Canis lupus familiaris: one gene and its partners. Each later gene encodes a partner of the first gene's protein in a complex. Links are inferred from orthologs where the notes say so. Each region holds a gene or a part of one and is shown on either strand. Other genes may lie near its edges. The genes, in order: PPP4R3B, PPP4C, PPP4R4 and PPP4R1.

Region 1 (7,974 bases):
TTTTCATTTAGTTTTAAAATCCTTTATTTTTAATAAAACAATTATTTTAAGACAAATTGTGTATGGCTGCTTCTCTGAATTACGCAAAAAACCTTATGGGGGGAAAAGGGGACTACTTTTAAAAAGTCTGAGTCAAACTTTTCCTTGTAGTAATGTAAAAACAGGACACATTCAAAATCCAAAAACCCAGGGGTGCCTGGCTTGCTCAGTCAGTAGAGCATGCAACTCTTGATCTTAGAGTGGAGTTTGAGACCATGTCCGATGCAGAGTTGACTTTAAAAACAACAACAAAAACCATCCCAAACCCAGAACCCATTCACCATTATTAGAGTCATGTAAATGCAGAAATTTAGAATTAGACTAGGCTTTAAAAGATTACATACATTGCCTAGTCCAATTCTAAATTTCAAGAGACTAATGCCCAAAGAGTGGACTTTCCTGAGGCTGGCTAGTAACAAAGATGGATTTAGAATCTAGGTTTCCTACACAATCAGGTTTTTGTCACTCCTACCATGTATAATAAACCACAGGACAAATTTCTAAGTAGTTTAAAGTTATGAACCCAAAGTAAAACATAGACACAAACTAGAATAGGCCAAATCTAGTAAAATTTAATATGTTAAATCCTAGATGAAGTCCAAAAACCTCTAAAACAAAATGAAGCATTATATTATTGTAAACAGTTGTTTTCTTAAAGGCATTGGAATATTTAATATATTAATAACTGGGATAAAGGTTAGAAATGTCTTTCTTTAGGGCTGAAATCCACAAAATAAGTCAAAAAAGAACTAAACTTCTGATTTTAATGGGTTTTTAGCTCAACTCTCATTTATGGAATAGTGGAAATATATGTTATATGTTAAATTTGAGATACCTGTCCTCTACCATTTCTAGTGAAGGAAGTGAAATTTTGTTCTGAAAAAGATCTTATCTGTAGCTGTCTATGCAAAATAACTCACTTTATTGGCTTTTAGAAAATTAATTTTTAAAACATACTTAGATTTCTTAATTCTGGGCACATGGGATTTTGATTTGTAGTTAGAAAGTTCAGGGTTGGGACGCCTCGGTGGCTCAGTGGTTGAGTGCCTCCCTTCAGCCCAGGGTGTGATCCTGGAGTCTCGGGATAGAGTCCCACATCAGGCTCCCTGTATGGAGCCTGCTTCTCCCTCTGCCTCTGCCTCTGCCTCTCTCTCTCTCTCTCTGGGTCTCTCATTAATAAATAAATAAAATCTTAAAAAAAAAAAAAGTTCAGATTAACCAAACTCTTATGCCCCAAACAAACTTAAGAGAATCTCAACGTATATTAAGAGTACATACCAGGAGCCAGAGACCATAGTAAGTGCTTTCTTTTAATTTCTCAATTAACCTGATTCAGGCTAGGAGTTATGTACCTTTGACTAACTCATTTTGGTCCAGATAGAATTCTTACATTTTTGCTTGCTTATGTAACTCCTACAACAGCAGGTTAATACTCACTTAAGAAGCTACAGATATCAGGCCATCATAAAATGAATCACATAGCTAAACACTAAGAAAAAGATTCTCAACTTTTTGGTCTCAGGCCCCCTTTGAACTCTTAAAAATTATGGAGGACTCCAAAGAGCTTTTATTATGTGGATTATGTTTATCAATATTTATAATAAAAACAAACATTTTAAAACATTAATTTGTTTTAAAACTAAGCTATTATAAATCTATGTAAATATTTTATGAGAAAATTTTATAAATTTAGAAAAAAATTATAAATTCAGAAAAAACGGCTTTTACATTTTTGCAAATCTCTATAATGTTTGACTTAATAGAAGAAAGCTATATTCCATTATCTTCTTATAGTCCAATCTGTTGTGATACCTTGTTCTGGTTGAAGTATATGAAGGATATATGGCCTCACAGTGACAAGAAGCTGGAAAAGGAAAAACTTCACAGATCTCTCTGAAAACGGTTTCAGAAACCCTGAGAACCACTATATGATGTATACAGAGGCTGCTCAAAAAACTTAATGAGTGATATGGACATAACAAAGGCAGTTATATAGGCAGTTACAGATATATATAGTTATATATAGGCGGTTATAGTAAATAAAAATCTTCAAAATCATCTTTACTACACTGTTAGGGTATAAAGGATTAACACAATAAACACAGTATGAACTTCTATTTTACAACTCAAGGAGACAGAATAAAACCAACTTCACACAGTAAATAATCTAATTATCATTTCCTGAAAATTAATGACTGTTTCTCAGTCCTGGCTGCATATCTCAATTATTTGGGAAGCTTTAAGCACACACACACATACTTATATATACCTCCAATGATAATTAGGGCTCATAAAATGAACTAAAAGATAGTCTTAAAACAGGTGCTTTTGTTCAGGATGATGAAAAAGTTCTGGAAATGGATAGTGGTGATGGCTGCATAACACTGTGAATGCACTTAATGTTATGAATTATATACTTAAAATGGTTAAAATGATCAATTTTGTATCATATATATAATTTTTTAATGCATGTAAAAATGAAGTTAAAAAAAAAAAAGCTCCATCAGAGAACACTTAAAAATGTAAAAGTTTGCATTAAGAAAGGATTCTCCTTCAAATACCCATGAGATAAAGTCCTGTTTTCTGTGCTTGACAGTATATTTAAGATAAACAAAAGAAATCTTCCAAAAAGGAATGAACACCAGCATAAACTATTATAGGAGATAAATAACTGAAAAAAAAAAAAAAAAAAAAAAGAACACCTTTGTTCACTTACCTGCAACATGCTGACTATCTCCACTTTGTTGAAGAAAATAAAAGACGTTAGAGTGGAAAGAAAATTCTCTTCAAAAACAGATGGCGTAGGCAAAATGATGTCCTGAATGTACTGTACCCTGTAAGTCTGATGTATTTTTTGCCTTAGTTCAGAGTCTGTTATTGGTATAACTTCCTTAAACTTTGCAGTTTTGGTCAAAAATTCTCTATGCCTTTTTGGCTGAGCCAAAGCAGGGTCATATTCAAGGCATCCCACAACATCCATGATACACTCATCAGAAAACATTACTTCAAACAAAGTTGCCTTATTTAGGAATAATATTCCTCTAATAATTTCATACAAATGGTGTAAGCCTTCAGTGTTTTCTAGATTCTCACAAGCTTGGAACAGCTGCAGTAGTTTTTTAATATAGCCTTCATTTTCCAAGGCCAGAGCCAGCTTTTCCCTACGGATAGGTGAGGAGAGAACTGAGGTAACTAAGTCAGCAATCTCTTCAAGTTTATTGAGTTCACATGTGGGTAGGTCAATCAGATGACTGGTTTCAGGTATTTCTTCAAATCGTTCTTCTTCTGATTCATCAATGAGGTCCTGTGTGACTTCCACAGATGGATCCTTACCTTGAACCTAAAAACATCCAAGTATAGCTGGTTACCTTAAAATACAAAAGAATTCAAAGTTTTGGAAATCAAATCACTGACCACTGAATTTAAGTAAAAATATATCTTGCAAAGAAACAATACTAGCCACACAGTCCATTGTTAATTAGAAGTGAAGTCTAGAGGGAGATAACACATCCAGTTTAAATTATTGGCGTCTCAATTTCACCTCTAAATTTCACAACTTAAAACTTGAAGTTAACTCTGATTCTTGACAACCTGAACATTTAAACTGTTACATTGATTTATGTGATGTTATATAGAAACTACATAGTTGTTTAGTAACTTCAGTATTCCTAATTTTGAATTTTGCAGTTTAACTCTTCTGTGGGTCCCCCAAATCACTCTGTATGACTCTTAATGCACCATCAGATTAAACCAAGAAAAAAACTACTAATTTTTAATATATATATGTATTTATTTTTACACACACACACACTTTTTTATGAGAGAGGGAGAGAGAGAAGGAATTTTTTTTTTAAGATTTATTTATTTATTCATGAGGGACAGAGAGATAGAGAGACATAGGCAAAAGGAGAAGCAGGCTCCATGCAGGAAGCCCGATATGGGACCCAATCCCGGGACTCCAGGATCATGTGCTGGACCGAAGGCAGACGACGCTCAATCAGTCCTGAGAGAGAAGGAATCTTAAGCAGGCTCCATACCCAGCAAGGAGCTCCATGCAGAGCTTAATCTCACAAACCTGAGATTATGACCTGAGCTGAAATCAAGAGTCAGATGCCTACCCAACTGAGCCGCCCAAGCACCCCAAACACTCTTAAGTTTAAATGAAACTGAAACCCAACTCCTTGCATATTCAAGAGGGAGGAGATTTCCTTAAATTACTTTTGAAATTCACTTTGGGAAAAATACTTACTTTTGTTATGAGCCTAAAACTGCTCTAAAAAAACAAAGAATATTCTTTTAAAAATTGGCTTTCATTTAACATCTGTGATAAAGCCTCCAAGTTACAATACATAGAAAACATAATAAATACAAAACTGTTTTATGATTCATGTTGACAGCTCAAGAAAAGCATGGCTAACTTATGACAAGTTTTCTATAATGATTTCTATAATGATTGTTTAATATAAAAACTTTATAATTTTTTTTTCTAATTCCCAACACGAGAGTGTAATTATCCTCTTTTCCCCTCAAAACTTCCAATATCCTGAGGTAAAAAAGCTCCACATAATTCCAAATCCACCAAAACAACACGTGAAAAAAGTCCTAAGAGCTTAGAGAAAGTAAAGAGATACACTAGTGCATATAAGATACTTTTCCTCCTACAGCATGAGAGTACTTCTTTTACTTCTGAGTCCTCAACAGAGTAGCTGAGTTTAGGGAGACAGACAAACAGAGAAAGGACAAGTAACAGAGCAGTTCAGATAAAACACCATGGACTTGATGGGATGAGCACTGGGTGTTAGACTATATGTTGTCAAACTGAACTCAATAAAAAAAAAAAAAAAAAAGAAAGAAGAAAAAATACTCAAATTCTAAAAAAAAAAAAAAGAGAGAGAGAGAGAGAGAGAAAATACCATGGAAATTCAGAGGAAGGGACATTCCTCCCAGCTCTTCAGGAATACAGGAGTGAGACTGTAAGGAAGAAATTATGAAAAAAAAAAAAAAAAAGCAGTGGCATTTGGACTTTCAAAGATGGGTAAGATTCAGATGGGGATAAAAGTCTGCAAAGGGAATAGTAGAGGCAGACAGATGGAAATGTGTGACATGCATATGGCAAACAGCAAAACTGGAAATGTAGATTAAAGCCAGATTATGGAAAGTCAAGCTAGAACACTTGAGTTCAGGGAAGTGAATGTGCAGCATTATCCTTTATAAAGTCAACCTGGCATCAGATGTATGGAATAAATTTGAGAATATAGATAAATTAAGGTGTTATTCCAAAGTGTATATGAACAACTGAATTTGGATAGTGATGGTGGGGTAGATAAGGGACAGGTAGAAAAGAGAGGAGGGGGATCCCTGGGTGGCGCAGCGGTTTAGCGCCTGCCTTTGGCCCAGGGCGTGATCCTGGAGACCTGGGATCGACTCCCACGTCGGGCTCCCGGTGCATGGAGCCTGCTTCTCCCTCTGCCTGTGTCTCTGCCTCTCTCTCTCTCTGTGTGACTATCATAAATAAATAAAAAATTTAAAAGAAAAAAGGAAAGAGAGGAGGAACCATGAATTATCCTACAGTTTTAAATATGTCATTAGGAAGATTATGGCTCCTTTAATAAAAACTGGTACATTCCAGAGAGGAATGGTTAGTACAAGCTCAGTTTTATTAAGTTTGAGGTGTCTGAATACCCAGCTTGCAATTAAATCTGTAGACCTACTACTCAGGAAAGAGAATAGGACAGAAAGTAAGAGGACAGAAATTAGGTATTAGGATTAACACTTAAAGACAGAGGAGTCTGATAGTAACCAGAGAAACAGGAGTAGTGTATGACGTGGGGAAGGAAGAGGAAGGAGAATCATAGGTTATAAAGAAAGAAGAAGAAATCAGAGGAGGGGTGCCTGGCAGGCTCAGTCTGTGGAGCATGTAACTCTTAGGGTTGTGAGTTCAAGCCCCAGGTTGCATAGAGATTACTTAAAAATAAAATATTTAACTTACACTCTAAATGAATATAGTTTGCACATGTCTCAGAATAAAAGCACAGCTATAGAAGCATTCACTGGTGATGTTTATTTCTGTGTTATCCAGTATAACCCTTACAAGCTTCCTGGACTCTCCTAAATTTAACTCTCACTGATATGATCTGTCAATCCCACATAAACCCAAGTGACTATCTGGATGTCAACAGTGCTGTTCATCAAGTATTTCGGGTTCTCTTCCTTTTGCGGCGCGACTTTTGTGCCCACAAAGTTATTCGTAGCTCTATGATTTGTTTTGGCCAATGAAATGTGAGCAAAACTGCCATATGTAACCTCTGGGAAAAACTTTTAAAAGCCAATGCGCCAATTGCCATCTTTCTTTCTCACATTGCAATGATTTTGGAAATACTAAAATAAATTCTCTATCAACTGGGTCCCTGAGTGGCTCTGATAAGCACAGCCCCTTCCTGTCCAATTGTACTCCTCACTGGTCATATAGCATTAAGGAAAAACAAATTTTTGTTGTGATAAGCCACTGAGGTTTTAGGATTTTGTTACTGTAACACAATCTAACCTTAACATCCTTAAAGTCAGTCAACTAACTATGCTGAGCACGTTCACAAAAAATTTATACTGTCAGTAGGGTTCTCAACAATAATTTCTTTTCCACACTCCTAGCTTACTTCTTTACAGCTTTTGTTTTGATTCTTCCCCCTTTTTAAGTATCAAACACTATTACTTTCTCCTTTAAATCTCAGGAAAGAGAATCTTTCCTTTGAAAGAAAGAGACCACTAGTATTCAACATACTCCAACATCCTTCTCCATCTCACAACTTATTTTCACTCATTTCCTTAATCTCTTTCAAAGAAAATATCCTTACCCTCTCATTTTCTGAGGTTAAAACTTCCATATGTACTTTTGACTTCATGCTTTTTAAAAGCTATATATACAGAAATCAGCTCTAACTTCTTCCTCTCCAATTGTTCTTTCTGCTCTATTATTTACCATTCCCCTTAAAAAATGTATTATTCTCTGGGCTGTCAAATTTTTCAGAGGGGTTCTACTTTCTCATTATAAGGAGTTAAGAAGTAACCGAGTAATATTTTTGTTGAAATTAAAACTTTTTTTAAAGGTCAGCAATGACTTCTCAGAAACTTAAAGTAAAACATAATGTATGGTTCTGTGGAATATCAGTTGTGAGGAGCTATAAACTAAATGTGTGTTTAGCGACATGCACAGATTAAAAAAATATAATATATAGGGCACTTGGGGGGCTCAGTTGGTTAAGCATTTGCCTTCGGCTCAGGTCATTATCCCTGGGTCCTAGGATTGAGCCCCATTTCAGGTTCCCTGCTAAGCAGGGAGTCTGCTTCTCCCTCTTCCTCTGCCCACCACCCACCCCTACCATTCATGTATAATCTCTCTCTGAAATAAATAAATAAATGTTTTTTAAAAATACAGTACTCAGTTGTTTAGTAAAAATTAAACTTCCTGGACCAGGAGAGTGGCCAAATCTAACACCCTTTCCAAAGGTGGAAAAGTGTGAGTAAAAATCAGTGACAAATGGGAAGAAATAGTAACAAAGGGCAAAGGAATGAATAAATGGGTACAACAAGAGAAATCCAATATTAACAATAGTGCCTCAAGAAAGGATCAGAGCAAGAGATGTATTCTCTTAGCTGAACTGTATTAGACACCTGGAAAGATAAAAGCCTTATGTTTTCCAAGATCACCTATTCTTGGGACTTGACAAGGTTGAATGGAGGCCTGTAAATAAACCAGATGAGTTACAACACTTCTGGAAGATGTAAATTTTATCATACAATATAATGATGAACTGAAACAATTGTTAATGATGAAGTTAATGATTCTAGTAATGTGCCAGACTGACTTCAGGTTACGTTCACTACCATACTGCAATATAGTATAATACTAGCATTATTGTTCTACCAACTACCTTAGGT
Region 2 (7,145 bases), on another chromosome or scaffold:
GGAGCATGGAGCTGAGGCTCCAAGCCTCTCCAGAGAAAGTCCTCACCCTCGAAGTGCCCTCTTTGGGGGGAGAGCAGAGCCGAGACAGCCCCCCCACCCCCGATGCCCAGCCTCTGTCTGGAGAAGAGGGCAGAGTCACAGTGGTCCGAGGGCCAGAGGGGCTGGAGGTTGCAGGGGTTGGAGGGATCACAGGAAATAATCGGCCACGGGCTTCTTGGAGGGGATGCCCCGGGTCTCTTGGGGAGCAGCCTCGAAGATGATGAAATCTTTCTGGAGATGCTCATCCAGCTCCAAGATGGCTGCCACATTCCCACAGCTGGAAGTAGGAGGGCAGCCGTGTTAGACGGGTGGGTCAGCCTGCCTCCCACCCCCACCTCGTGGCCCGGGCTGCTCACCGGTAGCAATAGTTGGGTGCAGACCACACAGTGAGCACAGTCTCATTGAAGTGCCACTTGTAACCTTCCATCACCAGTTGATGGGCGCGGCAGATCATGTCAATGTCGTTGGCTGCATTGAACTGGGCCACCACGTCACTGCCAAACAGGTAGCCAGCCCCGCGGGGGCTCACACCCCAGCCTGTTGTGTCTGAAGCAAAAGAAGGTAGGGATGGGGGGAGAGGGTGTCCTCCAGGCTTCTCTGGTGCCCATTGCCCTTTGAAAAAGAACATTCCATCCCCTTCTCCCAATGAGGCCCATGGGGCAAGAGCACAGGGCCTGAGTGTATTCTGGGGGATCCCAGAGTCAACCGCAATTGCTGGAGCAGATAAGCTCCAAGGAGAAAGAATTTTCTGACCATTGGAGCTACCCCATAATCAGAGTGGCCATGTGATTCACTGGCCAAACAGGCGTACCCAAAAGTGAAAGGAAGCGCCCATTATGACCACACAGGTCAAGCAGGTGTGAATGAGGCCTGCCCTGGCCGCCCTGGGAGGAGTGGCCAGGAAGCTGGGCAGGGCAGTGAGAGAGTGGAGGCTGTGTCATCACAGAAGGAGCTTGGTATTCGGGAGACTTGGCTTTCAATCCAGCCTCTGCTCTATTTTAGCTGGGAAGTCCCACAAAATCAGGGACAATCCTCACAGGGCCAGCATTCTGGGCATCTACCCTCTGCAGAAGCCCCTTCACATTCAGGGCACGGATGTTTCTGTCCCAAACAAGCCTCCGAACAACGATCTACATGCCTGACCCCTCAGAGCTCAAAACACCAGCTGCCCCCGCTCCTCCTCTTCATGGACAGGGCCCATGGAAACCAACCTGTTCTGCTCTTCCCCAAGCCCACCTCGCTAGACCCCTTCAACACTTTAACTGTCCCTTTAACCAAAGGACCCCTTCAGTCTCCTGCCAAACTAAGGGGAGAGCCGGCCCGCCCTACTACCCTCACCTTCAGGGTCAGACCAGAGCAGGTCACACATGGGCCCGTCATGGGGCACCTCTTGCTTTCGGTCAATGGTCCGGATCTGGTCCAGGGTCTGGATGGAGGGGGAGAGACCCCCGTGCACACAAAAGATCTACACAGAGACCAGAAAGGAGCGAAGGTGAGCTGAGCCCAGCGGTTCCTCGCCTCCCCACCCTTCCCCGTCCCTGCAGGGCCCAGAGGCCAGCCTACCTTGCCATCGATGATGGCCGACAGGCTGAGGTAGTCAAAGATCTCTGTGCAGTAGCGCCACACAGTCACCGAGCCGTATTTACGCAGACACTCGTCATAGAAGCCATAGACCTGGGTGATCTGGCGGCTCTCGTGGTTGCCCCGGATCAGGGTGATGCGGTCAGGATAGCGAACCTGGAGGCGGGCTGGGGTCTAGGCTCTGCTTCTCCCCTGTCACCTCCCATGTCCCTCTCAGACCCCTCACATGTGTCAGCCCTGTCCCAGCATCACATCATCCCGTGCCTGCCTCTGCATGGCGCCGCATCCACCTCGGAGGCCCCAGCCCCTCCTCCAGGGGATCTGAGGCTGATCTCTCTCTGTCCCAACTATAGACCCAGCTCCGCTTTCACCACCAAGTCCTGAACAAGACCCTCAGGTGCCTTGTCATCCTGCCCACCCATGGATGCCAGACCCGGGAGAACTCCATGCCCCACCCCCCACTTTCTGAGCACAGGGCGCCTCTATTCCCTCCCCTTCAATGCTGCTGCTCCAACTCCTGCTCCAGGGGCCCCGTCAGATGCCCCCAGGGCAGGGGAAGCTGCCCTGTCTGCTCCCTGGCAAGCTGGGCACTAGCAGCACAGGTCAAGAGATGGGGGCAGAAAGGAAGCAGACAGGTCAGGCCTGAGGTGGCCCAGGTCCCCACCTTCAGTGCCAGCAGCAGGAGGAACGTTTCGACGCTGTAGAAACCACGATCCACAAAGTCTCCCATGAAGAGGTAGTTGGTCTCTGGGACGTCGCCACCCACCTGGGGGGAGAAGAATCTGCTTGGTCCCCAAAATGTCCCCCGCTATGGCAGCCCTTCTTTCAGAAAGCCACCAAACTAGAGGCTTCTCACCTATACTCCACTCACCAAATTAAAGGTTCCACTCTCAATTCATGCCCCAGGTCACCTTTGGGTCCCAGAGTCTCCCCACACTTACTCTGAACAGCTCCTTGAGGTCATAGAATTGTCCGTGGATGTCACCGCATACCTGCAAAGTGAGGAGAGGTGGGTCGCAACTCACAGTCTGAAAGCTCTGCTCCCAGGGACTAACCTTCAAAACACCCACTGTTTAGCAGCTCCTTATCACTCCTGGCCAAATCTTTACTTCTTAGGGCCAAAATCTCCTCTCCTACCCCGACTCTGCCTGGTTTGGAATCACAACCCATCCCACACAGAGTGCCAACTACTGTGGGCAAGAGCTAGAGCCAGGTCTTTCCAGTTAGACCTGTAGCTTCTGGAGGACCTAGCCCGCTCCTCTCCCTGTTCCCCTCAAAGAACCTAGAATAAAGCTGCTAATAACAGAATACACAGGAACATTTGGAGTAGAATCACTCACCATAGTAAGAAGCCTTCTGCCCTGGCCAAGAGTATCCCCCCAACATATTAAAAGACCATTCCCATAACATCTGTTTCATATAGCAAGGCTCCCTTAAAGATGGGAGAAGGAGCAGATACACAGGGCCCCTGGGCTCTCAGGGATGGGGGTAGCCCTCTGCAGCCCGTAAGATTAGGGGGTATGCCCGTGTGCCTAAGACGAAGCTAGGCTCCGGAAGGACAGGTACTCACTGTGACTGGCGAGTCCACCCTCTGTACGTTGCTCTCCTCTACCAAGATCTCTCTGGAGACAGGAGAAGACCAGGGTCACCACGGCCAGGCCAGGCCAGGCCAGGCCAGCCCAATTCCTGATCTTTTCCAGGGGAGGATATGAGGTAACCTCTAGGGGGCAGGAGTGAGGTGTGCAATATCCCCAGGGTGGGTTGACCAGGCCTGGCCAGGCCTCCCAGAGGCCAATTGGCCAGAGCCCAAACTCTTAACTGCATTCAAAGTTTTTCCAAGGAGGCAGCAGCCTTCTGAGTCCTAACCCTCCCTGCTGCCCTCTTTCACACAACCGGTGCTCATTCAGAAAACAGACCTCCTCTCCGCACAGAGACCTCTGCTCACGCTGCTTCCTCAGCCTCGAGTACTCTGAGACTGTGTCCTCCACTTAGCTTACGGTCTCTCTCTGCTCATCAGAGGCCTTGCACAGACCATCCCAAGGTACCCAGTCATCAGACACACCATCAAAGTGATGTGCTGTGTTTTTCCTTACTTAAAGGGAGTGACAACGTTGTTCTTTCATTTCTCCCTGCAGTGGAGTCTACTACTACTTGCCAGCACATGACATAAAATCACTTTGTCAGTTACAGTCAACTGGAGAGGAGCCACACTTCCAGATTTCTACCTTGATGACAGCAGCAGTGACCACTCTAGCTGATATGCCGCAGGACTGCAGTAAGAGCTCTGCATCGACGACACAATCAAAGAACCATCCCCAAAGCAGGCATCGTGATGACACCCACTGTTCGGATGAATAAACTGGCTACAGTCCTACAGGTGGGACTTGAACCAAGCAGCCTGGCTCCAGGATCTGGCACTTTTATCAAGCTGCTCTGGTTTTGGAGGGCCCCAGGCACCTGCCTACCTTTTTCCGCCAGCCTCCTCCTAGGAGACTAGGAGCTCCCTGAGCTCAGAGAACCCGTGATTTTACCTATGTCCCTGAGGGCACTCTCTCAGACAAAAGCAGCTTGAGGGAAGTGTGGTTGCTTGGCTTTCTGGGAATGGGAGGGCGTCCCGGCAGGGGTCTGGGAGGCCAACTGGCCACCAAGCCCTCCCCGCCGCTGGACTACATCATGGGTCCAGCATCCTTCCACATCAACTGCTTGTGAAGACATTTTCAAATGACTCAGGGGGGTTCTTCTCATCCTCATCTGACACAGAAACTGAAGCTCAGAGAAAAAAGGGGCAGGACCCGGCGAGGTGGGGGAAAGAGAACCAGCCTCCGACCCCAGCTCTGTCACTCACAGCACATCACCCGCCCTCTCAGAGCTCACACTTACCCACCTTTACTTCCACAACAAATGCCAGTCCCTGTCCCTACATATGTAGAATCTCATCTGAGCTCCATAATGACTTCAAAGACTTGGAGAGGTACAGTGACTTGACCAGGGTCACACCATTTTTAGGGGACAAAGCTGGGATTCACGATGAAGACCACCCAATTCAAACCCTCTGCTCTTTTACCATAGTGATATACATTATATATGTATTTTTTTAAAGATTTTATTTATTTATTTATTCATAGAGACAGAGAGAGAGGCAGAGACACAGGCAGAGGGAGAAGCAGGCATCATACAGAGAGCCTGACGTGGGACTCGATCCAGGGTCTTCTGGATCACGCCCTGGGCTGCAGGTGGCGCTAAACCGCTGCGCCACTGGGGCTTCCCCTATGTAAGTATTTTTTAAAGTAATTTCTACACCCGATGTAGGGCTCAAACTCACAACCCCGAGATCAGAAGTTGCATGCTCTACCGACTGAGTCGGCCAGGCACCCCTACACTGGTATTTCAAAGACGACCAAGTTTGGTTCACATACTTCAGGCCTCTCTAGTTCCAAGAATTTACATCTATGTACCCTGGGGGCAAGCTGAGGTTCCAAGATGCTACTGGCCTGGGCCTCGGCCCCTTGTGGGTCTCCAGGAGGCCACGGCCAGGTGCACAAGTTGTTCTCCCTTCAGAACAGACCCTGGATAATACTGGCCAACTTAGGTCTCAGCCCAGTACCTCCCAAGCTCTTCTCAGTTTCAGCTGGGCAAGACTCCCCGACCCCTCAATCCTCTATAGCTCCCCACTGCCTTGCTGACTGGTTGGCTATCAGTTTACAGGCAGTATAGTAAAAGACCTGGATCCAAACAAAGTGAACCTCTCTTCCTACCAGCTATGGGGCTACAGGCAAGGCATTATGTCTTCTGAGGCTCAGTTTCCTCTTCTGTGAAACACTCTCTCCAACCTGCCCGCTCTATAGGGCTGCTGCCAAGAGCAGGTGAGACTGGATACATAACCTGTGTGTCATTCTGAAAACCCCACCATGCTATGCGAGCACTAGCTATCATCACCACCAAATGAATTCAGGCCCTCTGGGCAAGATGAGTCTTACAGGAAAAAGAACAGTGCCAAGCAACAGTTGGTTTAAGTTCCTAAAAATGCTGTCAAGACTGAGGGAACAGCGGTGACTAAAAACACCTTGGGGCTGGTCCAGTCAGGAAAACTTTCTTTCACTGCCAGAACACAAAAGAGTCGCAGACAAGCATTTAAGAGGCCTTGCCTGTTTCCCAAACAGGCCCAGTCTGGCCACTATGGGTCTGTCTGAGGTAAAGCCAGGCAAGAGGCCTAGAGCCACAAGGCCGGGACCTAGCTCTGCTACTTTCTTTCTGGGTGACCTCAGTCAAGTCACTAGGTCCCTAAGGAGTCATGTTAAAGGGAGCAAACAGCTTCCATCTCACAAGACTCCTGTACGGAAAAGAGAGAAGTTCCTTGCCAGTACAACGCCTGTTGTTCAAGGAATGTAGGGTCATTGTGCTGGCTCTTTCCCCACAATCTCCAGCGTGGTACAAGCCACAAACAGTACCTCAGGGGAGGCCGGTAAGTGGTCTCCTCACTGGTGCCCATACATCCCAGAGCTTCCACTCCTGCTCTCATCCTCCTGGGAATATCCTTGGTCCCTGGCTCTGCTTCCATTAGCTACCCAAATTATTTTCATCTTCCAAGACCACCTTCTCCTAGAAGCCTTCCCTGGTGACTTCGGTCCTTACTGGCAATGCCCCCTTCCTACACGGTAGTAACGTAACACCTAAAGACTGCTGAACACTTACATTGTACCACAGCACTATGCTAAGCTAGTCCGAGGCACCAACTTACTGCCTCTTCACCATCATCTTCTTAAATACTATTATTCCCACTTTACAAATAAAGAAACTGCCAGAGACCTCAAGATCACCAACAGGGCCAGTAAGTGGCAACGCTCACATTCCCACCCAGAACCATCACATTCCAAAGCCTGAGCTGTTAACCACTACATGACCCTACTTCCCACAGGCCTCCCTTCATGTCAGGTTTAATTTCATTCTGACTTATTTGCTACTATTTCACACTGAACATGAGGAGATCCAATTCCACCATCTTGCGTTAAGGCCTGAAAAGAGACAGGATATGGAGCACTGGCTTCGGACTCCATCCCTTACTTGCTGGCTGACTCTGAATAGAAGAGTCCTCGGCTGCAAAATGGGGACAATACCACCCACCTTTAGGGGTTGTTCTTGGGATTAATAAGAAGTCTACAAACCATAGAGCCTTTAGCCTTGAACTGCCTTGAACTTCTGTTTTTGTCAACGCTCCCTTTTATCATCTTAATTTTCAAGGCCTATCCCCAAAGTTCGGTTCCTCCCAGAAACTCTGTTCCCCCGACAAGTAGGACTGTCTCCTTGAGCCTCCTTAGGACTTTTTATAATTCTCTGACGCCACTGAAAACACATCACCTAATACTTTAAGTGTCTTTCTCCAGGTCTGTCTTCTCCCAACGGGCTGGTTGCTCCTCGAGGGAAGTGGCCCTATTCTGCTCCTCTCTGGGAAAGATTCCAGGATGAGCCAGGCCCCAAGTTCTCGGCTGGGTCTGCCCCAGTCCGGAACCCCGGGTCAGCGGGGCCAC
Region 3 (7,974 bases), on another chromosome or scaffold:
GCAGACGCTTAACCCACTGAGCCACCCAGGTGCCCCCTTATCATTTTTGAAATATAAAAAAGTTCTGTGTATTGTTTATGTTTTAGAAGCTGTTAAAAATCACTTTATATTCTCATTGTTCTAAATAAGAGGGAGGTAATGAAATCTAATAGACATCTCAGAAACCCAAAATCAGCTTTTGCTTCAAAGATGAAAAAGAAATAAAAAAAATAACATTATTGGTGTCATTTACAACTTAAGTAAAAAAAAAAAAATAGGCCTACATTTCATGAGCTAACACTTCTACAAGTTAATTTCATTCATCAAAGCCTAGAGGACTAAGGTTACATTATATAGGCTTACATTATAGGTATAACAGTCTTAAGAAATGATTTTGACAACAATGACTCCCTTATTGGAGGACAGTGCATGAGTGTACCACATAGGAAATTTCACATAAAATTGAGCAGAATTGATGGATTATTTTACTCAGAAATGACCTATTTGAATGTCTTCTATGTGTCAGGGACTGTTTAAGGACTTAGGGATATAGGAGTGAATAAGACAGACTCCTGCTCTTAACAGAGCTTGTGTTCTGAAGGGGTGGTGGCAGGATAGATAATAAAACAGGGTCAGGGAATATATTAACAGCTGCTAGTAAGTGCTATGAAGTTTGATCTTAATTGTTTATCTCAGCCTGATGATTTAGTACTGCTGTACTTACAAAGCTAAGAAGACATAATTATGCCATATTTTTAACTTCACTTATCAAGAAAGAAATGATTTACAACATAGAGTATGAACAAAGTACTTGCAAGTCTAAGAGATTTGTTTTACCTTCTTTTACAAGACAGTGATTCCACACTTAAAAGGAGATACATGGTTATTATAGCATGTTTTCCATGATCAAAGAGGATACTTTATTCTGCTTCAATATTCTCTGGAGAAAAGAAAGATTTATATTTTCCATTCCATACTTAATGGCTAGAAGACTCATGCATTCATTCAGCAAAATTTATTGAGTGCTTACTATGTGCCAAGCACTATATCTAGGGTACCTAAAAGAGACAAAGGAAATATTATCCTGGAATCTGAAATTTCACTGGAGACAGACAGTAAGCCAACATATGTAGATAGTATGTCAGGGAAGAACAACAGTGAAGAACAGTAAAGCAGGGTAGAGAATGAGGAACGTGACAGTGGGTAGTAGGATGCTCTTGTGGAGAGAGAGTGGTCAGGAAGGAGTCCTCTCTGATCAAGTACACTTCATGCAGAGGTTTGAACCAAATAAAGGAGTTACCGTGTGGATGTCTGAAGGACAGGTGGCCTGGGCAAAGGGAATAGTGTGGTTGCGTGAGGAGCAAGGAAGCTGGTGTGGTGAGTGGCAGAGAGATGAGGCAGGGGGTGGTGGGGCCCGCAGCACAGTGCACTTTCAGGGCCTTGACATGGAATCAAGCTTGTATGCTCTGAAACATGGAAAATCTTTGGAAGGTTTTGAGTAATGATTTTTTTTCTACTTTTTCTACTTTTGTAAAGATACAGAAAGGCAGAGAAAATGATGAACCCCCATGTAGAACTCAGCTAGACTGAATAGTTATTAACATTTTGCCATATCCACTTTTTCTGTTTCATTGTGCTGAGGAATTTTAAATTCTAAGTATCATTATATTTTATCTCTGAACATTTCAGTGTTCGTCTCTAACAAAGGACATCCTCCTATATAATCACAATATAGCCATTGCATTTTACAAAGCAGACAATTATTCTTCAATGTTGTTTCATATCTCTGCAGTCCACATTGGCCCCCTAAGTATATTTTATAATTGTTTTATTCCATATAGGATCCAATGCATATCCATATAGGATCTACATTGCCTTTGGCTGTTACAACTCTTAATTGTCTTTTAATTCAGAACAGGCTCCCACTTCTCCCTTTTGCCACTTTTTCATGACATTGAATTGTGGAAGAGACTTTGTTGTCCTGTAGAATATTCTGTCAGAGTGCTGCTTCATGGTTCACCTATTCTCAATATTTCTTGTAAATGGGAAATTAGATCTAATAGAAAATTAACCTAAAGCTCACTGAATTTTAGGTTACACATTTTTGGTGAGAATACTTCTTGGACACCAATTTACATTTTATATTGCATCCTATCCAGACATGTGTTTCTCTGTCAGTGAGCTCAGAGTGTTTGTCCAGGTGGGGACAGCTTTATCAGTCTGGTGCAAAATTATGTTTTCTCTTGCAAGGTACACTGTACCCTGAAGCTGATGGTTGGAACACTCTGAACACCATTTTTCCATCAACCTTAACACTCATTAGGCAACCACTGGTGATCCTTCCTGAATCTGTTTTCATTAGAACTTGCAGGAGAGTGATTTTTAAAAATTCTATCACTTCTACATTTTTCATGACATTCTTCCATGAAGAGATATTCTTCTTTATCCATTTGGGTAATTTGATTACACTGAAATATATTTCCTCATGTAATCCTTAGTTTTTTCCTCCTGCTGTCAGTTTTTAGAGTTAGGAGCTGGTGCAGTAACCACTCCCAGTGGTGACAACTGAGTTTTGTTTTGGTTTTGTCTCCCTTTCAGGCTTATTCTCTAATATTAGATATTGTTTTAATCAAATGCAGTCATTGTTTGTGTACTCAGATTGTCACAATTTACTCAGGCAGGGCCTGACATGTTTTTGATACGATTACCTTCATCTTTGATTTCTGGCCCAAAAGATAGCTTATGTTATACTGTGAGGTAAAAAAAAAAAATTTTTTTCATGTGACTAGTATTGATGTGTTTGAAATTCTATTAGTATACACAAATTGAAGAAGAGAGTAACATGTTTTTATTCAGTTCATTTATCTAAAATTCATTTTTAAAATGCCAGTGATGCTTCTCTTTATGTACCTTTCTTAAATTTTCTGTTCTAATTCATAGGGAATACTCTCCTTTTACGTTTTTTTTTTTTTTTTTTTTTTTTTAAATTGAATAAGGAGGAACTTTATTTATATATTTGTGGCTCAAGGTGATCAGATGGTTTTTTTTTTTTTTTTTTATGATAGTCACACAGAGAGAAAGAGAGAGAGGCAGAGACACAGGCAGAGGGAGAAGCAGACTCCATGCACCGGGAGCCCGATGTGGGATTCGATCCCGGGTCTCCAGGATCACGCCCTGGACCAAAGGCAGGCGCCAAACCGCTGCGCCACCCAGGGATCCCTCCTTTTACGTTTAACACATCAAAAATACCACACAGAATAGTACTCTAGAGAAAAAGAGCTTGTATAAAACATGAGAGGAGGTAGTAGGCTACTCCCCGCAGTGTAGTAAGTTTTATTCTACTTGAATTTCAAGGATCCCCACTATAATACTCTGAATCTTTGAATATTAAATATGATGGTATTTATATGTAAGCCAAGGTGGTAAATACGAATTTTTTACTGGTTGAGAGATTTTTTTTCTAATATATAATTTGAACCCAGTAAAGATAGATAATTGAATTCATTTACAGTTGACAAATTCTGCCCAGTGATAAGATGGAAAGTCAGAAGACAAAGGATTATAGAACACTAGTCAGAGTCACTGACATGGTGTCCCTTGGATTCTAAATTTTATCTGTGATATAGGCCAGGGATCTCGATGAATGGTCGAAGAGGCAGAAGCAAGCGGAAGGATTGAAGGGTACACTTGATCATATGATTTCTAGATTTCAATTTAGAAGTGGCACATTTTTGGTGATTAGGTCTAAGGCAGGGCATGTTCTTGCAATATTTGTTGAATAAATGAATGACAAGGTCCAGGGAATGGCTAAGAGAATGGATGGCTGAGATGTTTTTGGGGAGAATGCCACTTAACGATGAAGTGGCAGAGAAAGGAGAGTCAACTAAAAATCAGATCTGGATGATTTGGAAATGACTGTGCCAAACTAAATTAACTTTGTAATGTGATGCATTAGTTGATCTGCCTGAGTGATATTCACACTGAATTAGGAAGACACTTCCTAGGTGATTTGAGAGGCAGACAAAATTGCTCTTACTTTTAGCCAAAACTGAAAATTGATCTGTGGAGCAAAACTATGCTATAAGATTAGTCTAATTGTCTTTCCTACCTGTTTCTTTAAGAATGTCTTACCTGTCCAAAAGGCAGCTTCACGAACTCTATGCATTTTTCTACGTTATAATCGTAAACAAGAACAGAGACATGAGGTCATTCAGAAGTTAATTGAACGTAAGTAATCATTGCCTTTTATTTGGAAAAGCAGAAAGTAAACTGGCCTTAGTTATCTTGGGCCGACATTATGTATCATTTTTCCGTGATGTTGATAAATATCTAGAGTGTGTATTTGAGTTTTGTAGGTTATTTATTTTTTTTTGCTTTAGAAATTTAAATGACAGGATCGGTCTGTGATTGAATGGGAGAAATATTTACTCTGGGCCTTCTTTAGTGAGTTTCTACACTTGAGAAATTAAAATAATGTATATATATATTTTTTTTAATTTATTTTTTATTGGTTTTCAATTTGCCAACAGATAGAATAACACCTAGTGCTCATCCCGTCAAGTGCCCCCCTCAGTGCCTGTCACCCAGTCACCCCCACCCCCCCGCCCTCCTCCCCTTCCACCACCCCTAGTTCATTTCCCAGAGGAGTCTCTCATGTTCTGTCTCCCTCCCTAATATTTCCCACTTGTTTTCTCTCCTTCCCCTTTATTCCCTTTCACTATTTTTTATATTCCCCAAATGAATGAGACCATATAATGTTTGTCCTTCTCCGATTGACTTATTTCACTCAGCATAATACCCTCCAGTTCCATCCATGTCGAAGCAAATGGTGGGTATTTGTCATTTCTAATGGCTGAGGAATATTCCATTGTATACATAGACCTCAACTTCTTTATCCATTCCTCTGTCGATGGACACCGAGGGTCCTTCCACAGTTTGGCTATTGTGGACATTGCTGCTATAAACATCGGGGTGCAGGTGTCCCGGTATTTCATTGCATCTGTATCTTTGGGGTAAATCCCTAGCAGTGCAATTGCTGGGTCGTAGGGCAGGTCTATTTTTAACTCTTTGAGGAACCTCCACACCGTTTCCCAGAGTGGCTGCACCAGTTCACATTCCCACCGACAGTGTAAGAGGGTTCCCTTTTCTCCGCATCCTCTCCAACATTTGTGGTCTCCTGCCTTGTTAATTTTCCCCATTCTCACTGGTGTGAGGTGGTATCTCATTGTGGTTTTGATTTGTATTTGTCACATATAATTTCATGCAGGAAAGATTAAACTTATCTTTTTTGTTGTTGTTTCTAGAACTGGGCCAAGGAAAAAGTTATTGGAATAGACTTCGATTTTTGGATACCTGTGAATTTATTATAGAGATCTTTTCCAAATCATTTTTCTGTAAATATTTCTTTCTACCTGCTATTGAACTGACACATGATCCGGTGGCAAATGTAAGGTATGCTACTAATCCAAAGAAATACTTGAAAATATTGTACATTTAACTTTATCTACTATAATTCATCTTCTGATCTACTATAATGTACTTACACTTTGAAATTCCTGGTAGTCTTAATTCATGAGCCTCAATAGGACTTGGAGGCATAATCTTTTTAAACAGTGCCTCATGTCTTTGATTTATTGGGTTAAGAGAGTAGTAGTCAAAGCCAGACTGGCAGGCTTCTCCTGCCACTTGGATAAATACATAACATTGGTGTCAGGAGAAGGTTGAGTAGATAGATATTCTTAATTTATGGATTTTCTGAGACTAAAGAAAATAACTTAAAGTTGGCTTGGCCAAGTTCTGTCCATTTTTAGAGGCAATCAGGATTGGATTTTGTTTCGTATTTTTAGTGTAAGAAAATACAGAAAATGCTACTGCATTGGCTTCAGTATTTTTACATCTATGTTGTTAATATTTTGCAAATTGAAGTTGTGACTCTAGAAAATCAGCTCCCGGTGTGATGAATTATCATTTATCAAGCAATTGACAAAGATTATTTGAAAGGAAATGAAATCATCTCTACTCTGGTCAATATGACTAAATGCATAGCATTGACCCTAAGAGATAGCAACCTGACAATTCAAAAACCAAATGAAGATTAATTGAACATTGCTCCATAAATATTGGTTATTTTTGGAGGGTAAGAGATCATTGCATAGCAATTTGTCTTGGTTTCAGTTTTCTTCTTTTTTTTTTTTTAAGATTTTATTTATTCATGAGAGACACAGAGAGAGAGGCAGAGACACAGGCAGAGGGAGAAGCAGGCTCCCCTCGGGAAGCCTAATGTGGGACTCAATCCTAGGACTCTGGGATCACGACCTGAGCCAAAGGCAGACACTCAACCTTTGAGCCACCCAAGTTTCAGTCTTCTACCTGGGCAGCTGCCAGCCAAACAAATGGATTCAGCAACACAGTATGCTAATTGGCTTTTGGATACAAAGCATTTGCCCAACTCTGTAGAGATGTTATTTAGAATGAAAGCCATCACAGGCAAGAGTGGTGGGATCATGCACTTAGTAGGAGGGTTTCTGGAGCTATACCACCTGGCCTGATTTCCAGCTATATACTAGCTGTGGTCTTTGGGCAAGTTACATAATCTCTCCGTGCACTAATTTCCTTAATTACCCAATTCATAGGGTGTTCTGAGGAATAAATACCTGAGATAATGTATATAACAAAGTTAGCTTACCAGAAAGATGTGATATCTAATCTTAAAATCTTTATAATCTCACGGGTCCAGGAATCTCACAGAGATAACTCACCGCTGTGGCTTCTTCTTCTGTACCTTCTGTTGAATATATGTTTTCTAGACCTACTTTGAGTTATGAAGAATGAAGTATGCATAATAGTCTGTTGTTTCTGTTTTTCCTTAAGTGAATGTTTAAAATTTGAATTCATTGATTATAGACAATATGAAGCCTGGAAAGACCATTGGTATTCCAAAGGAACCTTCCCCTTTGCCAGAAATGCAAAAAATTCTCTTTGGGGCAACTCGGGCCTCTTAATTTAAAGAAAGCATCACCAGGATCCGTGGTGAGCTCTGAGTGAGTTTAAGACCATTATTGCTATGAACAGAGCTGAAAATTCTGGAGGAAGAGCCTGTTTAGCCTTTTTGCTTGAATAAAAAGCCAATTTTTTTTTTTTTTTTTTTTTTTATATGAAGATTCCTCAACTGTGAGCTTAGCTGACAAAGTGTCCTGGAAACTCTGGGAGTGGAACTTGGTTGTCTCAAATTGGCATAAGGAGTAAAAAAAATAGTATTTGGAGAGCACTAAGATGAATGAATTGATACAGCAGCTAAAACATAGGCAACCACCTAGCATCCCTCTTTAAAGCCAGCCCTGGCAGAGTGGTAGGGTAGTAGCTTAGCAAAGCAGAGAATTTTTTTTGTACTGCTTCTTCCTAGGAAGCTTTCTGTACTTCCCTGGATTGCTTCTCTCCTCTTTGGCATTCTTCAGCCTGCGTGTTGCTTCCTTATCCATGTGGTATAGACTGGGATGGCACCTAGACTCTGTCCTTTTATCTTTTCTTGAACTGTACCTACAGCCTTGGTGATCTGTCCAGTCTCATGACTTGCATATCATCTGTGTGCTAAAGATTCCTGACTATATGGATATCCCTCCTGGACGGGAGCCACGTTGAGCTAGCTGCCCACCTAGCATTTCCATGGCATGTCCAACAGGTGCCTCAGACTCAGTCTGTCCCAAAGTAAATCCTCATCTCCTGCACCTGCACACACCCTTGCTCCTTCTGCAGTGTTCTCCCTCTGAGCAAATGACCATCGCACCTTAGCACCCACTCAGGTCAAAACCTTAACCTCTTTTCTGCCAACCCACTGCAGTCCCTCAGCACATCCTGCTGCTTGCAAAATATACTGAGTCCAACTGCTTCTCCCCACCTGACTGCTAGCACTGTAATTCAGGCGGCCACCATCTACTGCCTGAATTACTGCCAGAGCTTCCCTATCGTTTCCCTTCCATCCCCAAACACCTACAGTCT
Region 4 (7,251 bases), on another chromosome or scaffold:
TGCCTGCTGAGGGGCCTCTCTCCAGTTTGCTTTCCTGACCCCAGACTTTCTCCTGAGGTATGCACCCAGGGCAAGCCAGCAAGAACATTTGCAGAGTCAGAAAATGGAGTCGAGGGATGCCTGGGTGATTCAGCAGTTGAGCATCTGCTTTTGGCCCAGGGCGTGATCCTGGAGACCCGGGATCGAGTCCCACATGGGGCTCCCTGCATGGGGTCTGCTTCTTCCTCTGCCTGTGTCTCTGCCTCTCTCTCTCTCTCTCTCTCTCTCTCTCTGTGATGAATAAATAAAATCTTCAAAAAGAGAGAGAAAGAAAGAAAAAAAGAAAATGGAGTCAATCATTGTGCCTCTCATTTCTGAGTATTTATGTGTGTGTGTGTGTGTGTGTGTGTATACACACACACACACACACACATACATACAGGTACCTTGGTCATTGCTACATTATGTATATTCATGCCTCTAGTTACTCCCTGCTGATAACGAATGTAAATAGTCTTAAACATGAAATCTGAAAGGCAAAATCTCACTGGTATTGGAGGTATTTTTTCCCGGGCATTGTTGCATCTACTCAAAGTAGCCAGGCGGATACGGTCAGTCTTCAGGTCTACCCAGATGTGATAGAAACAGTCACTAGAGGACCTCTCTGCTTCTCTTATCTCTAATAGGGGTGTCATTCCCTTAGGAGCTGCTCAGAGCTTGGACACACACACCTCAGGCTACCTAATACTACTTACTAGAACTTCTTATTTAGGAAACTGATTTGTAGAAGGAAGTTTCTCAGCATTCTGAACAGTTACATATGTCCATGTCCCAACTGAACATACTAGGAAGTGCTTTGCTCTGTCTCAGTCCCTGTGGACTTAGAATTCCACATTTGTTTTCCTTACATTTTGAGGGGAGGAGATACTTGAACTTGCATAGTGTTTAAAAACATTTCTAGAGACATACAGACTGGTGATGACTCTGTGCATGAGAGACCACATTGCTCACTAGTCTTTGCATGTGTTCATCTTACAAATAGTATCCAGTATTACAAATTATTCAGATGATTAACTTATTTTCATTTATTTATTTTAAAATTTTAATTATATTTTTATTTTTATAATTCATTTTTGTAGACAGCTGATTTTACTTCTAGAATTATATAGTCCCAGAGATGTTTATGACTATTTACGTCCCATTGCTCTGAATCTATGTGCAGATAAAGTTTCTTCTGTTCGTTGGATTTCCTACAAGTTGGTATGTGTTACAATTTTTTCAATTTTAGAACAGCACACTGTTTAATAAGATCCTGGAACAGAAAGTCTTCCTCATGTCTCTGCGCTCCCCCTCCTAGGTTAGTGAGATGGTGAAGAAGCTGCACATGGCAACGCCCCCCACGTTTGGAGTTGACCTCATCAATGAGCTCGTAGAAAACTTTGGTAGATGTCCCAAGTGGTCTGGCCGGCAAGCCTTTGTTTTTGTCTGCCAGGTAAGTGAAGACTTATGCGTGCGTGACACATTTTTCTATCTAAAACTATGTTTCTTCTTTCACTGTGCTTCCCAACACTCTCTTTCTGATCCTTAAGGAACACTTTTGCCATCTGGCTCTCCAGGGGATCACCTGTTCCCCAGTTGGTGTCTGCCTGGCTCATCCCACAGCCATCCACTAGGGGGCGCTCGGGGTCCATGGCATAGCCTGTGGCGTGTGTGTGTGTGTGTGTGTGTGTGTGTGTGTGTGTGTGTGTGTGTAAATGAGCATGACTGCACACTCCGGGACTCAGGAGAGCCATTAAAAACCTATTTGTCTGTGAGGACTTAAAATTATGTCCTCTTAGTTTGGGGTTCCCAAGCGCGTGGAATGATAGTTTAAAAAGAAGTAGCTGAAATCTGTAGTGCTTGGGCTGTTAACAAAAGAGAATGTTAGCCAGTATTCCAGGGTTTGGCGATTACCTTGGCAGATTAAAGGAACTGTTTGTCCTCCTAGACTGTCATCGAGGACGATTGCCTTCCCATGGACCAGTTCGCTCTGCATCTGATGCCGCATCTGCTAACCTTGGCAAATGATCGGGTTCCGAACGTTCGAGTGCTGCTTGCAAAGACGTTAAGACAAACTCTCCTGGAGAAAGGTGGGTAGGTGACTGTTAGGAAAACCGTGTGCTGCGGGGAGGAGGTACACGGACTGCACGGATGGAGACGTAGCTGAGCGGAAGCACTATATGTTCCTACGTGTTATCTGATGGGAGAAGACTTGAGTTGTCAAGTGGGGGCTCCCCCTGAGAGAGGGCACAGATTAGATGACAGGGACTTGTTCGCCTTCCTGCTCCAGGGGCATTTCTTCTATAATCAAGACAGTCATCATGAAGACTGCTAACTCTGGGAAACGAACTAAGGGTGGTAGAAGGGGAGGAGGGCGGGGGGTGGGAGTGAATGGGTGACGGGCACTGGGTGTTATTCTGTATGTTAGTAAATTGAACACCAATAAAAAATAAATAAATAAATAAATAAATAAAAAAAATCAAGACAGTCATTTGAAAGATTAGGTATTCTCTTAAGACAGGATGAGAAACTGCCGTCAGTCTGTCCCACGTGACCTGTGTTACTGTTGCTCAGGGCCAGGAGGCATGTTTGTGTTTCCTCCTCTTCACTCCTTAGGCAGAAGACAGATGCTTCCTGGTATTTGCTTTGCTGCCACATACTAATAAGCTGCTCAAGATTCAGCTGTGTTTTATTTATTGTCGGCGCCCCCCCCCCATATCTAACAAATAGCATTTAAATGCATGAACTCGTGAATGAAGCATAGAAACGTTTGTTAATAGGCTTCTAAGAATATGGGTAAATGAATACTGCTTTTCCCTCCTTTAGAATTCATTTAAATTGTTTTAATAGCAGTAAGGAAATAGCTAAAGAAAACTGGTTCTCAACCTGTGTGATTGGTACTTGGGGTGTTTGTACTGAATTAATACCTATCACAAGTATAAGTGTTAATATATTTATTAGCTTTGCTGCCATTTAGTCTGTTCTAAAAACAAGATAAATCATACAATTCTCTTAGGCTTGGGGATATTTTTCATATCACACCAATCAACTTGGATTACTATTTGTAATTCGACATAGCTTGTGTTTATACTTGGAGAAATTATGTTTATGACTAAGAACTTAGTATACTCATACTTGATAAAACTGAAATGTTAAACTCATTTTATTTGTAATCTGCATTTTGCATCTCCAGAATATTTCCTAACCTCTGCCAGCTGTCATCAGGAAGCCGTAGAACAGACCATCATGGCTCTTCAGATGGATCGTGACAGTGACGTCAAGTATTTTGCAAGCATCCACCCTGCCAGTACCAAAATCTCTGATGATGCCATGAGCACAGCTTCCTCAACCTACTAGAAGGCCGGAACCTCATCCTTCCGCTTCATAGGGAGCCAAGGGCTGACAAGTGCTCCACACATGCGATCTGGGCCAGCCTTGGGGAGGAGGAGAGACCTTCCTCGCTTGCAGATTAATTGCAGGTGCAAGTTGCCTACATTGATACCAGGGATTTTAAGAGTCAAGAGAAAGTACAGTAAACACTATTATCTTATCTTGACTTTAAGGGAAAATAATTTCTCAGAGGATTATAATTGTCACCGAAGCCTTAAATCCTTCCGTCTTCCTGACTGAATGAAACTTGAATTGGCAGAGCATTTTCCGTATGGAAGGGAGGAGATTCCCAGAGACCTGCATTGCTTTCTCCTGGTTTTATTTAATGCCAGATAGATGGAGTGGCAGCCAGAAGGTGGCTGCGAGCCAGGATGTGACCGAGACCTTCAGTATTAGCCCGCACTGTCCCCACGCAGGCAAGGACCTGTTGGTTCCGTGGCCAGCCGCCCAGCCCGGCCCTAAGTGTGAATAGTTGCCGACGTGTGTAAATGCGAAAGGAGATTGGGGGGTGGGTTTCTCCTAAGGGCTTGATGCTAACACTAAAGTAGAATCTGATTTTAACTCTTAAATGCAGCATATTGCTGTGCACATTTACAGAATGTTGGCTGAGTATCTATGTCCCGATTTTCTTCATGCTGGTCATGACCCGAAGGAGTGGATTGGCGCGTGCTGTATGTCAGGTGTTTTTAACTTGATCATGATCGGCTCTGAGGTGCAGCTTTACTTCCCACGTGTACATACCTGTGACCACTCTTGGGAGTGCTGCAGTCTAATCATGCTGTCTAAACTTGTGGCACAAGTTCTCTTGTCCGAATAAAATTTATTAATAAGATTATATAGAGAGATATATACACTTCTGATTGTTTTCTAGATGTCTGCAAATAAATGCAATTTGTGACCTGTATTAATGATTTAGTATGAAGTGGGAAAACTAGATTAAAATATTTGTCTTTTACCTAGTTTAGTAATTTGTTTGCCATCTGCATGTGCCACTTGGGGCCAGGTTCTGTTCCCAGCAGACAGTGGGGTGTCCGGAGTTCAGCCCAAGGCCCCGGACACATAGTCCTGCAGCTCTGAGTCCCCACGGCCTCTGCACAGTGGGAACGGGAAGCCATGCCCCATCTGTGGCCGAGCGGCCTTGCACAAGCTGGGACTGGGACGCTGCAGACTGCTGCATGGAGGTGGCGGTCGCTCTTCTGAGCCCAGCTTGAAGGACCCTTGGCCTGAGTCCCTGGGGTGCACCTGTGAGCTTTGCTTTCCATGACTCAGCCGGCAGGGTCCCCTCGAGCCTCGGGGTGCGGATTGGGGAACACGTAGGCCGTGTTGTGTACAGACTATCGCGACTATCGCAGGTGAGACCTGTGTCTCTGCCTCTTGCATTACAACCCTGCGAGCGGAAGTGTGAGCCAGTTGCCCTGGGATGGAGGAAGCGGGGGTGCACGGCGGTCTATGGAGGGGGTCGGGGGGGTTGGTGGGGCCTGGCCCAGAAGGGGGGCACAGATGGGAGGAGGGCGCAGCCCCAGAATTTCAGTTGTGTAAATGACGTGACCGTCCCACACGAAGCTGCGTTTTTTTTTTTTTTTTAAGGTTTTATTTGTTTATTCATGAGAGAGAGACAGAGAGAGGCAGAGACACAGGCAGAGGGAGAAGCAGGCTCCATGCAGGGAGCCTGATGTGGGACCTGATCCCGGAACCCTGGGATCAGGCCCTGGGCCGAAGGCGGTGCTCCACCCGAGCCCCCCTGGGCGTCCCGGTGCTGCGTGTTCTCGTAAGCGACAGCAGTAATAGTATATTCGGGATAAAGGACTTGAATTTAGGGCAAGCGTACAAAGGCAGCACAGGCCCCTTCCCCGCTGGCCCGGCCTCTCCGCGACCTCGCTGCTGCTCGGCGCTGCCCTTGGAGCCCTCCCGCGTGGTCGCGTCTGAAGAACCGCGGGCCGGGCCGCAGGAGGTGGGGGCTCCGCTCCACACTCAGCGCCATGTGGGCCGAGCCGGGCTGCTCCTGCCTCGGGGCGGGAGCGCCAGGGCTTCTAAGGGAGAGAAGTGGGCTTCCGGAGGCAGCACAGGACCCAGCAAAGGAGGAAAACTGACCGTCCCAGCAGATCTTTGAAACCCTCCAGGAGGTAGAAACTGCAAACCAGCTCAAACTAATTTCATAATCAGAAGAGGAATCAGGTGGTGAGTATGTCCTCATAGGGTTAATGCGGGGCGGCTAATCTTAGGAGATATTCTCTTCCAATCCATGAGCATGGAATATTTTTCCATCTCTTTGTGTCTTCCTCAAGTTCTTTCAAGAGTGTTCTGTAGTTTTTAGGGTATAGATCCTTTGCCTCTTTGGTTAGGTTTATTCCTAGGTATCTTATGCTTTTGGGTGCAATTGTAAATGGGATTGACTCCTTAATTTCTCTTTCTTCAGTCTCATTGTTAGTGTATAGAAATGCCACTGACTTCTGGGCATTGATTTTGTATCCTGCCACGCTACCAAATTGCTGTATGAGTTCTAGCAATCTTGGGGTGGAGGCTTTTGGGTTTTCTATGTAGAGTATCATGTCATCTGCAAAGAGGGAGAGTTTGACTTCTTCTTTGCCAATTCGAATGCCTTTAATGTCTTCTTGTTGTCTGATTGCTGAGGCTAGGACTTCCAGTACTATGTTGAATAGCAGTGGTGAGAGTGGACATCCCTGTCTTGTTCCTGATCTTAGGGGAAAGGCTCCCAGTGCTTCCCCATTGAGAATGATATTTGCTGTGGGCTTTTCGTAGATGGCTTTTAAGATGTTGAGGAATGTTCCCTCTATCCCTACACTCTGAAGAGTTTTGATCAGGAATGGATGCTGTATTTTGTCAAATGCTTTCTCTGCATCTATTGAGAGGATCATATGGTTCTTGTTTTTCCTCTTGCTGATATGATGAATCACATTGATTGTTTTACGAGTGTTGAACCAGCCTTGTGTCCCGGGGATAAATCGCACTTGGTCGTGGTGAATAATCCTCTTAATGTACTGTTGGATCCTATTGGCTAGTATCTTGTTGAGAATTGTTGCATCCATGTTCATCAGGGATATTGGTCTATAATTCTTCTTTTTGGTGGGGTGTTTGGTTTTGGAATTAAGGTGATGCTGGCTTCATAGAACGAGTTTGGAAGTACTCCATCTCTTTCTATCTTTCTGATCGTGAGTCTTAAGTGATGTCAACAAAGGTGAGGAGGAAAACGGTATTTTTCAAAAGCTGGAGCTTAGTCCCCCCGAGGGAAACTCGGAGGCCGCACTCCTGCCTCTGCCCTGCGTCCCCGGGGGAATCTCAGCTGCTCCCCCCTTGTCCGGGAGAAATTGTCTGCAGGCTTTGGTGCGTTTTCAGAGTGTCCCTTCACCCAGGCCCCAGGCCACCAGACCTCCTGTTGGCGGAGTGGAATGGCTCAGCGGGCTGCCTTCGGGCTGTGATCCTTGTGCTTAAGTCTTGGAGGTATTTCTGTGATGCCAGACCATGGTTTGTCTGGAACCTTCTAGCGGAATTGGCAAATGCTGAGTTCCTAACTACACTGCAAATGCCTTCTGAGCTGTCCAGGTGATGGCACCCTGATTCTTAGTTTGCGGGGCAGGTGGTCAGGTGCACAGTGTGTGGCCAATTCTTCTCGTACCTGTTCCGTCCAGGGCCCACTTCATCTTGGGCAAGACTGTTTCCTGGCGTGCTGGAAGCTGAATGTGCTGAAGGAAGCAACTCGAAAGTCTGGCACTGCAGTCGGGGGACCGTGGATGCCTGAAACGCCAAGCTGATATTTTGGGGGAGCATCAGGAAGCAACACTTCTTCACAGATGCTGCTCCAAGGAGGAGGGAGGTGTGGGAGGC

Evidence for each region.
Region 2: PPP4R3B (region 1) and PPP4C share a complex: the UniProt entries of both Homo sapiens proteins name them as parts of the PP4 complex. The link is inferred for Canis lupus familiaris from reciprocal best matches to the Homo sapiens genes PPP4R3B and PPP4C.
Region 3: PPP4R3B (region 1) and PPP4R4 share a complex: the UniProt entries of both Homo sapiens proteins name them as parts of the PP4 complex. The link is inferred for Canis lupus familiaris from reciprocal best matches to the Homo sapiens genes PPP4R3B and PPP4R4.
Region 4: PPP4R3B (region 1) and PPP4R1 share a complex: the UniProt entries of both Homo sapiens proteins name them as parts of the PP4 complex. The link is inferred for Canis lupus familiaris from reciprocal best matches to the Homo sapiens genes PPP4R3B and PPP4R1.

The regions. Positions count from the first base shown.
Region 1 is NC_049231.1:57,720,851-57,728,824, forward strand, and holds part of PPP4R3B (serine/threonine-protein phosphatase 4 regulatory subunit 3B), read right to left. Parts: intron 3,380-7,974; coding exon 2,756-3,379; intron 1-2,755. UniProt on the Homo sapiens protein: Regulatory subunit of serine/threonine-protein phosphatase 4 (PP4). May regulate the activity of PPP4C at centrosomal microtubule organizing centers.
Region 2 is NC_049227.1:18,251,491-18,258,635, reverse strand, and holds part of PPP4C (serine/threonine-protein phosphatase 4 catalytic subunit), read right to left. Parts: intron 7,063-7,145; exon of another isoform or gene 6,976-7,062; intron 3,243-6,975; coding exon 3,191-3,242; intron 2,613-3,190; coding exon 2,562-2,612; intron 2,387-2,561; coding exon 2,285-2,386; intron 1,777-2,284; coding exon 1,603-1,776; intron 1,505-1,602; coding exon 1,378-1,504; intron 586-1,377; coding exon 396-585; intron 317-395; coding exon 187-316; 3' UTR 1-186. UniProt on the Homo sapiens protein: Protein phosphatase that is involved in many processes such as microtubule organization at centrosomes, maturation of spliceosomal snRNPs, apoptosis, DNA repair, tumor necrosis factor (TNF)-alpha signaling, activation of c-Jun N-terminal kinase MAPK8, regulation of histone acetylation, DNA damage checkpoint signaling, NF-kappa-B activation and cell migration.
Region 3 is NC_049229.1:63,602,450-63,610,423, forward strand, and holds part of PPP4R4 (serine/threonine-protein phosphatase 4 regulatory subunit 4), read left to right. Parts: intron 1-4,100; coding exon 4,101-4,206; intron 4,207-5,282; coding exon 5,283-5,430; intron 5,431-7,974. UniProt on the Homo sapiens protein: Putative regulatory subunit of serine/threonine-protein phosphatase 4.
Region 4 is NC_049228.1:75,605,849-75,613,099, reverse strand, and holds the end of PPP4R1 (serine/threonine-protein phosphatase 4 regulatory subunit 1), read left to right. Parts: intron 1-1,118; coding exon 1,119-1,239; intron 1,240-1,336; coding exon 1,337-1,471; intron 1,472-1,966; coding exon 1,967-2,108; intron 2,109-3,211; coding exon 3,212-3,375; 3' UTR 3,376-4,363; downstream 4,364-7,251. UniProt on the Homo sapiens protein: Regulatory subunit of serine/threonine-protein phosphatase 4. May play a role in regulation of cell division in renal glomeruli. The PPP4C-PPP4R1 PP4 complex may play a role in dephosphorylation and regulation of HDAC3.